Pelodiscus sinensis: one gene and its partners. The protein of the gene in region 2 purifies or fractionates together with the protein of the main gene of each other region. This does not show direct contact. Links are inferred from orthologs where the notes say so. Each region holds a gene or a part of one and is shown on either strand. Other genes may lie near its edges.

Evidence for each region.
Region 1: the proteins of SSRP1 (region 2) and SRPK1 fractionate together in Homo sapiens (co-fractionation; 3 studies listed by BioGRID and IntAct, with this or other methods). This does not show direct contact. The link is inferred for Pelodiscus sinensis from reciprocal best matches to the Homo sapiens genes SSRP1 and SRPK1.
Region 3: the proteins of SSRP1 (region 2) and CHD1 purify together in Homo sapiens (affinity purification with mass spectrometry; 3 studies listed by BioGRID and IntAct, with this or other methods). This does not show direct contact. The link is inferred for Pelodiscus sinensis from reciprocal best matches to the Homo sapiens genes SSRP1 and CHD1.

What each region holds. Positions count from the first base shown.
Region 1 is NC_134737.1:12,827,908-12,831,651, reverse strand, and holds the start of SRPK1 (SRSF protein kinase 1), read left to right. Parts: upstream 1-1,514; 5' UTR 1,515-1,566; coding exon 1,567-1,900; intron 1,901-2,138; coding exon 2,139-2,199; intron 2,200-3,744. UniProt on the Homo sapiens protein: Serine/arginine-rich protein-specific kinase which specifically phosphorylates its substrates at serine residues located in regions rich in arginine/serine dipeptides, known as RS domains and is involved in the phosphorylation of SR splicing factors and the regulation of splicing.
Region 2 is NC_134714.1:128,209,716-128,213,459, reverse strand, and holds the start of SSRP1 (FACT complex subunit SSRP1), read left to right. Parts: upstream 1-947; 5' UTR 948-1,092; intron 1,093-1,623; 5' UTR 1,624-1,779; coding exon 1,780-1,833; intron 1,834-3,744. UniProt on the Homo sapiens protein: Component of the FACT complex, a general chromatin factor that acts to reorganize nucleosomes. The FACT complex is involved in multiple processes that require DNA as a template such as mRNA elongation, DNA replication and DNA repair.
Region 3 is NC_134716.1:69,217,879-69,221,622, forward strand, and holds the start of CHD1 (chromodomain-helicase-DNA-binding protein 1), read left to right. Parts: upstream 1-1,202; 5' UTR 1,203-1,221; intron 1,222-3,744. UniProt on the Homo sapiens protein: ATP-dependent chromatin-remodeling factor which functions as substrate recognition component of the transcription regulatory histone acetylation (HAT) complex SAGA. Regulates polymerase II transcription.

The DNA of each region.
Region 1 (3,744 bases), on a different chromosome or scaffold from region 2:
AGATTCTACAATGATGGGCTGAGTAGAGACACTGGATTTATAACTTGTTCCAACAATCTAATCCACTAGCAGCTCTCCCACCAAGCTGTCTTTCCCCCTCCATATTTCATTTGCCCCTGGAAGGGTATGTCTACACTACCCCGCTAGTTCGAACTAGCGGGGGTAATGTAGTCATCCGCAATTGCAAATGAAGCCCGGGATTTGAATTTCCCAGGCTTCATTTGCATGAAGCCGGTCGGCGCCATTTTTAAATGCCAGCTAGTTCGAACCCTGTGCCGCGCGGCTACACGCGGCACGGAGTAGCTAGTTCGAATTAGGCTTCCTAATCCGAACTAGCTGTACTCCACATTCCACGAGGGTTCGAACTAGCCTTGAGGTCTAGGGTGTGCAGGGTTTGGGGTGTGCACAGTGCCTTGAGGGTTAGGGGGTGCAGGGTTTGGGGTGTGCACAGTGCCTTGTGGGCTGGGGGTGCAGGGTTTGGGGTGTGCACAGTGCCTTGAGGGCTAGGGGGTGCAGGGTTTGGGGTGTGCACAGTGCCTTGAGGGTTAGGGGGTGCAGGGTTTGGGGTGTGCACAGTGCCTTGAGGGTTAGGGGGTGCAGGGTTTGGGGTGTGCACAGTGCCTTGTGGGCTGGGGGTGCAGGGTTTGGGGTGTGCACAGTGCCTTGAGGGCTGGGGGTGCAGGGTTTGGGGTGTGCACGGTGCCTTGAGGGCTAGGGGGTGCAGGGTTTGGGGTGTGCACAGTGCCTTGAGGGCTGGGGGTGCAGGGTTTGGGGTGTGCACGGTGCCTTGAGGGTTAGGGGGTGCAGGGTTTGGGGTGTGCACAGTGCCTTGAGGGTTAGGGGGTGCAGGGTTTGGGGTGTGCACGGTGCCTTGAGGGCTAGGGGGTGCAGGGTTTGGGGTGTGCACGGTGCCTTGAGGGCTAGGGGGTGCAGGGTTTGGGGTGTGCACGGTGCCTTGAGGGTTAGGGGGTGCAGGGTTTGGGGTGTGCACGGTGCCTTGAGGGTTAGGGGGTGCAGGGTTTGGGGTGTGCACGGTGCCTTGAGGGTTAGGGGGTGCAGGGTTTGGGGTGTGCACGGTGCCTTGAGGGCTGGGGGTGCAGGGTTTGGGGTGTGCACGGTGCCTTCAGGGCTAGGGGGTGCAGGGTTTGGGGTGTGCACAGTGCATTGAGGGCTATGGGGTGCAGGGTTTGGGGTGTGCACAGTGCATTGAGGGCTATGGGGTGCAGGGTTTGGGGTGTGCACAGTGCCTTCAGGGCTAGGGGGTGCAGGGTGCATTGTACTCGCTGGGGTGTGTGCATTGCCTTGTGGGCTATGTGCGCTCTGGGGCGGACGCAGGAGTCAGTGGGGTGCACGCAGTGCATTGTGGGCGGGGGGCTGTCCCATCCCGTGCCTGCAGTTCAAGTTGCGCGGCGGGGAGGCAGGGGGCGGTCCACTCCCGGCTTTGCGTCACACTCAGCGCTTCGCTCACAGACAGGCGCACGCATGCGCCGTCTACCCTCCCCCTTCACTCCCCCCTCAGTCGGCCGGACTCCTCCCCACCGCGAGGTTGCGCGTGCGCTCAGGGCCATGGAGCGGTTGGAGGCGGGGCCGGGCTCAGGGGAGGAGCCTACCCGGCGGTCCCCGCTCCTCCTTCTCCGCCGGAGGGGGCGTTGCCGGACGCGCTCGGCAGAGCCAGGGGGCGTGGCCTTGCTGACGAGCTCGAGCTCGAGCGGCAGCAGCGGGAGCGAGGAGGAGGCGGAGATCTGGTGGCGCGCGCAGCGGCGCGCGAAGGTGCCCAAAGTGCGCACGCTTCGCCCGGCGCGGCCTAGCTCTGCGCAGGCGCAAAAGCAGGCGGATGGTGTAGAGCGCACGCGCGGAGAGCCGTGGGGGCTACCGGCTCTCGCCGCCATGGAGCGGAAAGGTGAGTGGCGGGCGCTCTCTCCCGGCCCGGCGGGCCGCCTCCTCCTCCCTCCCCCCTCCCGCCGATACATGCGCGCGCGACCGCCCCTATCTCCCTCAGAGCAGCGCCCTCCGCCCCCTGGCCTGCCTGGCGCCCCCCCCCCCCCAGCCTTGCCCCTGAGGGGGTGTCGCCTGCCCCCCCCGCCGGCCGCGCGCCCCCCCTTCCGCCCCCGCTCATCCGCCTGCGTTTCTCTCCCCAGTTCTGGCCTTGCAGGCCCGCAAGAAGCGGACCAAAGCCAAGAAGGACAAGGCCCAGAAAAAGTGAGTCAGACCCCTTGGACAGTCGCGGGGGGGGGGGTCGATGTGGGGCGCGGGGGGCGCCCCCCCAGCCTGGACCGCTGAGTTTAGGCGAGGCCTGGATGGATCCATGCGGTGATGGGCTCCCCTTGGGACTGTGGGTGCGTGACATGCCCTCGGGCTATGGCTCTGGAGCATCCTCGCAGCTTCATCTGCTAACCTCGCCGCTGCCTTCCCTGACCCCTGCATAAGGTGGTTGAAATAACACCCCTTGATCTTTCTGCCTCGATCCCTTTCCTAGGCATCGCTAGGCTGCGCCTCAGTTTAACTCAAGTGCATTTTTAAAACTGATGTGGTTAAAGCAGTCTTCCTGTCTTAGAAAAAACAAAAGACAGGACTATGTAGCCCTTTAAAGACTAACGAGATGGTTTATTAGATGATGAGCTTAGTCCTGTGTTTTGTTTCAGCTACACCAGACTAACATGGCTACATTTCAATCACTGTTCTTGTCTTAGGAAACTATCTGTTGACTTTGATTTTTATTTGCTTAGGTTTAAGTACCCATTCTCCAGATACTTGATGCTCTGTCTCCCACCCCCCTCCCTTGTTCTTTCTCTCCCCCCTCCCTTTCCCCTCCTATTTATTTCAAGTTTTTATATCCCCAACTCATAACTCCGATTCTCTCAAGAAGTGGGCTGTACCCATGAAAGCTCATGGTACCACCTACATGTTTTGTTAGTCTATAAAGTGATACCAGACCATTAGTTGTTGTTTTTTCTGAAGCCCCTAATGTAGATGCACTTAAGATGACAGATAGGTTTTTTCAATGTGTTTTCAGCTATTAGAGTACTTTTCTGGTACAGATGAGGCCTTTGAATTGGTCTATGTTTGCACCCTTTGCAGGTGTTCCTGGCCCACACCGAGCTCTAGTCACTCTGTCTCCCCAAGTGGACTTCTTTGAAGGTCTCTTACATAGCTAGGCTCTGATTCTCTCTCTGGCTATCAGAGGGAGATGTGGTGGGCCTCTTACAGAAAATGGATTCCATCGTAGGAATAGAACTTCATCATTAGTATGTAATGAGCACCTTGCATCTTACGACATTTGATGGTAGGAGTCTTTGCCACCCTACTACCCAGTTTCTTCCAGGTGTAACAGCCTCTCCTTAGCACTAGCACCAGCACCTTCATCCCTCAGTCAGTCACATGACTTGTGTATTTGGAGGTGGTAAGGTTGCCATGGAACCTCTTTCACTGAGTCAAGGAACAGAAGGTTCTTCTAAACAGTTTGATTACTTAAGTTTTCCCTTTCACCATCTCTTTCTGTAGTTTACCTTTTATTTTTATGATTACGTTACAGTGTGTTTACCTTACTCTGTAGCTTTGACATCTTTCTGTGGTTTCTGTACCCATGTCAGGAATTTCATAAATAAATTGCCTTCATGATAAACTTTTGGATGGGTGTAAAGACTCTCTAAATCTGTGGTGTCCAGCTAGTTCTGAAGCAGTAGCTATTATAGTGGCTACTGCTATAGCGAACTAGTGACACTCAATTAGCTAAATAGTCACATG
Region 2 (3,744 bases):
CCCAAGACCCAGGCCCTTAGTCTGCCAAGAAGTGTACCTGAATAATTTATGCCAGTAGGGCTGGTGTCTTCAGTGTTTGACACCTCCATTGTGTTAAAGAAAGGACCCCACACACTCACTCCACACAGCCTTAAGGGGGGTTGTCCATGCAGTCCATTGGGGAAGGGCGTTGCACAGAAATGCAAACCTCACCAGGGCCCCTGCAGCCAGTTCGGCCCAGAGCTCTGCTCCTACAGGGTATGGGGAGCTGCAATGCAAGAAGCCGCGGGGCTGCGCAAACACACTGCAAGGGGGACAGGTGTCTGGCGTAACCTCCCCTTGCAGGACAGCCTCCCTTGGGGAGTGCATGGCGCCAGGGAGCCAGGCCATTGCAGAGGGGGAGCTAGGAGCGGCGTGGGGGGGTGGAAACAGAGCGCAGCCTTCTTGCAGGGTGAAACCCCCCTGGTGCTTTCAGTCAAGCAGCAGCCGCTCACGCTGTGAGCTCCCGGGGCCCCTGGTGTGTCGGCCGCCAGCGACAGGAGGACAGGGACTGCAGCGCCCCAGAAGAGCCACCTGTCGCCGACGGGGCAGAGGGGGACACGGTGGGAAGCCGTGAGCTTGGGGATCACCCCTGGCGGTGCAGGGCTGCGGAGCGTCCACACAGGTCGAATCCGGGCGCAGGGGACCCTGAGAATCAGGGGGGGTCAGGGTGGAGAGGGGGGAGGGGCCTGGGGGTACAGGGCAGGGATGGGGGGTGTCTAGGAGGGTGGGGGCATTTCTGGGAGAGAGGAGTGTGGGGCAAGGAGGGAGGAAGGGGGGGCTGTGGGGCGGTGCCTAGGAAGATGGGGTGGGTGGAGGAGGGGTGCAGAGCAGAGGGGGGAGGGGCAGGGTGGCTCTTCCAAGCACGCGGCTCGCGCAGCCAGAGCAGCTGCCTGGGAGGAAGGGAGGAGCGAGGCGGGATCCACTCTAGCCGGAGCCCCGCTGGGACTCTATGGTGAGAGCCGCGCGCACGCGCGCCCGGCCCTTCATGGGCGGCGTCTCTATGGCAGCGCGGGCCGGAAGGCGGAAGCGGGGGGGGGGCTCCGGCTTCCGGTGGGGGAGGCTCCGCGTGAGGTTCGCGCTGCGCAGGCGGGAAATTGCCCCCCGGAGAAGGGGGGGGCTTGTGGGGGGTCGGTGTCTGGGGTATGATGGGGGGGGCTGAGGTGTCGGGGGGGGGTGGATTTGGCGGCGGGGGGGGGGGGTCGTGCCGGGGGATGAGGCGGGGGGGGGGGCGGATCTCTCGTGGGAGGGGCAGTCCCTGGGCCAGGGGCTGCGGTGAAGTGTGTGTGTGTGTGGGGGGGGGGTAGATTTGGCGGGGTCTGTGGCTGGGGGGGGGAGGTTTGGCGGGGGGGGGGTCTGTTCCAGGGGTGGGGACCAGGATGGGGAGGCTCCTGTGTGCCCCTCCCCCCCCCCCGGGGTTCAGCCTCCTGCCCCTGGGGAGCCTTGTAAAGCTCAGCAGCAGCCCAAGCCCTGCTGGGCGACGCTCACTGTCTCTGCCCCCGTCGCTACTCCCCATGGGTTCAGTCACTCGGAGCTTCTGAGCCAGCTCCTTGCTGGGCTGCTTTACCCTGCTCGATGGAGTCATCTCTCTCCTCTCCTCCCCAGGTTCATCGCTGGTCTGACACTCACCCCAGCCGGGCATGCGGGACTCCGGAGGGGACTGAAGAGCTTCTTCGTCTCTGGAGAGCTCCCTGACTGAACCTAGTCTCCAGAGCTCTCCCACAGACCCTACCAGAGCGGGCGAGGTGGGGAGGGGCCGCCATGGCAGACACACTGGAGTTCAATGAAATATATCAGGAGGTGAAGGGGTCCATGGTGAGAGATGCATGAAACCTAGAAAACCGTGTCTTTGTGGGGATGGGTAACAAAGGGTCTGGGGAAGTGCCATTATTGTAGCTGGTGCAGTGGTGTGTCTGCTGTTGAGCCTGTGGTTCTGAACTGTGGTTCTGATTTCATTATGGCTCTTAAGCTAAGCCCAGTCACAGCTGGCATGATGCCTGAAAGGAAAGCCGAGAAGCTATGGGTGCCTTGAGGGGGGGCAGGAAGGAGGAGTGTGCTTTTTTTCCCTTTAGCCACTAGGGTGTAATAGTGTAGTCAATTAACTGACTAAGTAATAAGCAAAAGCTTATCGGTTAATGCTATAGACTACACGCATTTCTCCCCCCCTATCTAGCCAGTACATTTTTTAGCCTGATTCTGTCCTGACTCGTGCTGGGTCTGGGACCTACCTCTGCTGCGGCTCTGCATTTAAAGTATATTAAGAGCCAGGTGAGCAGGCAGCCCGGCTCAGTTCTGGCTCGCACCAAGTCCAGGACCTCAGCTGCCACCGGACAGGGATTGCTGCCACCCTGAGTTGCTGCCTCTATATCCAAAGCTGCAGCGCAGGGTGACAAGCAGCTAGTCCCCGAGGGGAGCTGATTTTTAAACTGTGTCCCCTCGCAGTCTAGTTCCTGCCTGGTACCCCGTGCTGCTGCCTCTGATACAGAAGCAGCAGCACGGAGTGGCCGGGGGCTACTTGGGAGTGGGACTGGAATGCACTGGCTGCCAGCCCCACCTGGGGACTAGAGAATAGTTGAGTAACCAATAAGAATTCGTGAGGTTAATCGACAATTCAGTTAACCGATATTTAACATCCCTACTGGTCACTATTCAGCTCCCAGATCAAGCAACATGCTAGGGGGTTCTGGGCTGTATCATTTTTATGAGACAAACCATAGCCAAGCCCTGGTAGGTATTAAAGATCCAGCGATCCTTTCTTGAGTGTAGTGGACTTGGCACCAGTTCCTGGCTGCATTCCTGCTCTGGTAGGTAATGCTCAGCTGAGCACAGTTCAAAGCCAGTTGTCTGCCCCATGAAGTTCTCCTTGCAGTTTGTTCTAAATTGTTGTGTGGTGTCACTTAAGGCTGTAAAGGGTTAACCAGTTACCTGGTAAATGTGCGCCTTACCGGCATGCTTATCAGGGTAGCCAGTTAACTGGTGGAGTGTGGCGGGCCCGGCCTGGCTGAAGCAGCCCCCCACTGTGGGATCATAGTTCACCAGTTACACATCGCGTTTGACTGGTTAACTTTTTAACCAGGAATTTGCATCCCTAGTGTCACCAAGTGCTGTGGGAAGTGAGGATTGGCTTAGCCTGAATGGCTGGAACCTGGGAGCCTTCCAGAAAATGCAGTGCAAGATCTTGATTCCCAGGCACCAGCATTTGCCAATTTCCAGCAGAGGTGCACGGTGCCCTGAGGTTTATAAATGAGCCTGTTTCCCGGCCAAGAAATCCAAATCTTTTGCTCTTGATAGTGTTGGTTATAACGGGGTTTGTGTCTACATCTATGAAGTGTCCTTGATTAAGCTATTGCTCGTAAGTGGCCAGTAAGTCTCCAAGAGAAAGCAAACGCAGGCTGTAGGGAGCTGATGTATGTTGCAGGGCTCGTGGTATGGACCTGTGAAGCATGAGGGGTAGCATGGTGAGCTTGGAGTGAAGCCTGTATGAGGGAGAGAGAGGGTGTTTGCAGTGGGTGTTAGTAGGATATGGTGTGTGTGCACCCCTGTGTGGGAGAGAAGAGATGATGGAATCTCCGTTTTATGTGCACGGGATCGGTGTGAAGTAACCTTTTCCCTGAAGGAGGAAGGGTGTTGCTGGCTGATGTCAGGCTCCCGATGTATCTTTAGCACCATTCCTGCATGTCACCGCGGTTCTTTTCCCCGGCATGTGCATTTTGCTCTTGGAGCGGT
Region 3 (3,744 bases), on a different chromosome or scaffold from region 2:
TATTTAAGAAAGGTTTTCAAGGCTTTGAATCATTGTGATTTTTTTTCTGGACACTTTAACGTATTTCAACAAATCCCATCTCTCCTCACTTCAAGGACCGAGCTTAATTTGTTTTTAAATGCTGCTAGTGTGGTATCACTGTAATGCAGTGATTCTTAAAGTGGTTGAAGACCCCATTTTAATTTCCTGGGACCCAAACCCCATAGCCTGGGGCCAAAGCATGAGGATTTCAGCCCTGGGTGGTGAAGCTCAGGGTTTCAGGTTTCCCACCTGGGGCTGAAGCTCTTGGGCTTTGTCTTTAACCTCCCGCCCCATCCAGGGCTGTTGGGCTTGGGATTCATCTTGGTCCCCTCACCTCCCTCCACCTAAGACAGTGGGGCTTTGGCTTTGATCCTCCTAGCCAGGATGGGGGACTTGGATTAGCTCAGGGTTCAATCCCCCCTGCTGGGGGCAGGTAGCAATTTTTGTTGTCAGAAATGCACAAGGAAGTCTGAGAACTCCTGCAGTAAGGAAAAGGCAAGGTAAAAAAACAGGGTTTTGCAGTTTCTCTAAGGTTGTGAGAAGTGGAAGAGTAGCTGCCTCTTCTCCAGTCTCCATCTGTACTTTGAAACCTCTTTGGCTGAGATGGCAGCTTCATTACAAGCTACAGCCAATCAGGCTCTCCCAGTTCCAGGATCAGCTCTAGAGTTCTAAAGCGGGGCTGTTGGGGATCCCAACTGTCACCTCAGCGGATGGTGAACAGTTTAGTTGTCCAGTCCTTGCAGTGCAGCAGCCAGAGCAAGGCTTTCTAGCTTCCACCCACCTAGCTGATAGTTACCTACCTCTTTTCCCTTGCTATCTCCTGCAGCTTCCTCTCCCCTCCCCTGCCATTGCCTGCACTAACCCTATTTTTCCCTGTCATGGCCTAACAACTATCCTACCTCTCCTGCCCAGTCAGCTGTCACCCATCCTCCCCTTTCCTGCCATTACCTACCATTACCTACCATTACCTACCATTACCTACCACCCACTCCTTCTGCCCAGGTAGCTGTCACTCATCCTTCCCTGCTGTTGCCCCCCTGCATACCCTCCACTTCTCTCCCCTCCCCTGCTGTCACCAGCAGCCTACTCTGCCCTTCCCACCCAGCCAGCTATCACCCACCTTCTCTTCACTTACCATCTACTCTTTTCTTTCTTGCCATCGCCCCTTGCCTACCCTTCAAGAGAGTTAGCAGCCAACAGGTATGTAACAAATATCTGACTCCAAATATTCACTCTGAAATGTTCTTTTGGCATTAATTACTGTTGTCTTAGGCTGTGCTAGGCTTCTGCTCTCCAGATTAATATAGCACAACAAGCAGGGAAATATTGTCTAACTTCCTCATTCTAGTTATTATAATAATCCAGCAACTCTTTTTAGTACCTATTTATGATACTTCCCCTTTGCTATCTTTGTTTCAATAAGCAAACAATACATTCTTACAAGTCCTTGAATGGCTTTGAAACTCATACCTCTAGTTAGTAAATACCTGGTAACACTATAAATGAAACCTTGTCTGTAAGCATTTGTGATGAAGATTTTAAAAGCTGTCACCACAATTGTCCCATGGTGCTAGCCGTGTAAGCAAAATCTATCTGGTAAATAACAGCAAGAAGTTGGAGTATGACAGAATATATATAATTTCTGAGGGTACAAAATGGCAGATAAATAGAGACAAGGGCCGTGTATACACATTAGGTATTCTTGTATACCATCACAAGTTGCGGGGACTCAAAAAAAGATTGGGGGATTCTAATGGATAATCAGCTGAATATGAACTTCCAATGTGATGCTGTGACTAAAAACAAGCTAATACAATTTTGGGATGCTGAACAGAGGAATCTTGAGTAGGAGTAGAGAGGGTAGTTAGCAATGTTGCAACTGCTGCTAGATTTACCAAGAAGGATATTGATATATTTGAGACAATTCATAAAAGAGCCATGAGAATGATTAAAGGATTAGAAACAAAGCCTTAGAGCAGGAGTGGTCAACCCATTATAGGCAAAGAGCCAAAATAGTTGTGCATATAGCACAAAGAGCCGGGGAAGCTGTCGAGCAATGAAAAAAAGAAGAAGCCCCCAGCCGCATTTGGTCAAGCGAAAAAAAAGGACTATCCCTTTAAGAAACGTGGTTAAAGGCTTTCTGGCCACATCAGGCTCCCACTGGACACTGCCATCTTGAAGATGCCATTTTGAATGGTCATATTGGATGGCTCTTCTGCCCCAGTGAGCACAGGGAGCCGGGAGACAGGAACCGTTTTCAGGAGTGCAGGGGCAGCTTCGCGAGCTGCACTTATATGGGGGGGAGCCGAATGCATTTCGCGAGCTGCTAGTTGGCCATGGCTGCCTTAGAGCGACAGACTCAAGGAACACACTCTATTTATCTAAAAGAGAAAGTAATGAAGTGATTTGCTTATAGTCTATACATATCTACATGAAGGATACATTTAATATATGAGCTCTTCAAGGTAGCAGGGAAAGGTATAACAATATCTAGTGGTTGGCAGTGAAGCTAGATGAATTCAAACTGGAAGTAAGGCATGAATTTTGAACAGTTTGAATACTTCACAACTGGAAGTTTACCAAGGGTTGTGGTCAATGTTTCCTCTAATCTTTTCCATCCAAGTGCAGAATATATTCTTTTATGTGAACCAAGGCATGTGTGAATTCACACCCCCAGTAGAAATAAAACCTAGCTATGGGCTGTTAATCAGCTGGATGGCATTTAAATCACTCCTGAGCAGTCGCAAAAGCACACAACTAACAGGCAACTCTACTTAGGTTCTCCACCAGTGATAAATTTTAAATTATTTTTTTTAAAAGATCGAGTCATTATTTTGAGGGATTTCTGTGACCTGTGTTATTCAGGAAGTCAGATTTTACAATCACAATAGTTCCTGCTGGCCTTAACATATAATGAATCTAGCCTTGCAGTGTACAAAGCAGGATATACTGGATGGAATTCTGGAATCAGAGTTTTGTTTTTTTTGGCAAAGAAATGGCTGTTGAATGGAATATATATAATATGTACAACACAACAGAAACATTATGCATGTAGTATATTATCTGGAAATACCTGGACTTTAAATCAACAATACTGAGAATGTAATAGTTATTGACAAATATTTAATCCCTGTGATTTCTCCCTCCCCCCCCATGTTTAATAACATTAAATAAATGGTCCAATAATAGTCTCACTTCATCAGTCCCATGAAGATGAGAACAGCTGGAGTGAGAGCAAAAAATCTTCCAGTAGTGTAGGCTTCCATGTCTCAGGAAGAGCATGCCACTGTCTTTCTTAGTGCATATAAACCCAGAAATGGCGTGGGAACGATCACCTTCCTGTTTTAGTGTGAGGTTACTTACAAACCTGGAAGGAAACAAACGGATAGGAACCATTTTAAACTTGTTCTTAAGGTTCGTGGTAGAAGCCAAATCGAGCCAAGATTTTTAAAATAAGCCAGGTTCACGGTGGCCCCAAGAAAGATCTGACCAAAGTTAGAGAAGATTGCAACTACTTACATCTGGGACACTGCAGATATAAGTTTCCACTGCTGACTGATGCCGGTAGCAGGCCCAACAGTGAATGACCCTTGGCTTCACCCTGCCTGCTTTCTGCCTCTCACCCTTAGTTGCTATGCCGCCCAGCGTCCGCCACCTTCTCCTTTGCTCCCTGTCAGGCCGCCACTTTACTCCCGGCTGCTCCAGTCCTGCCTTCTCGCGTAG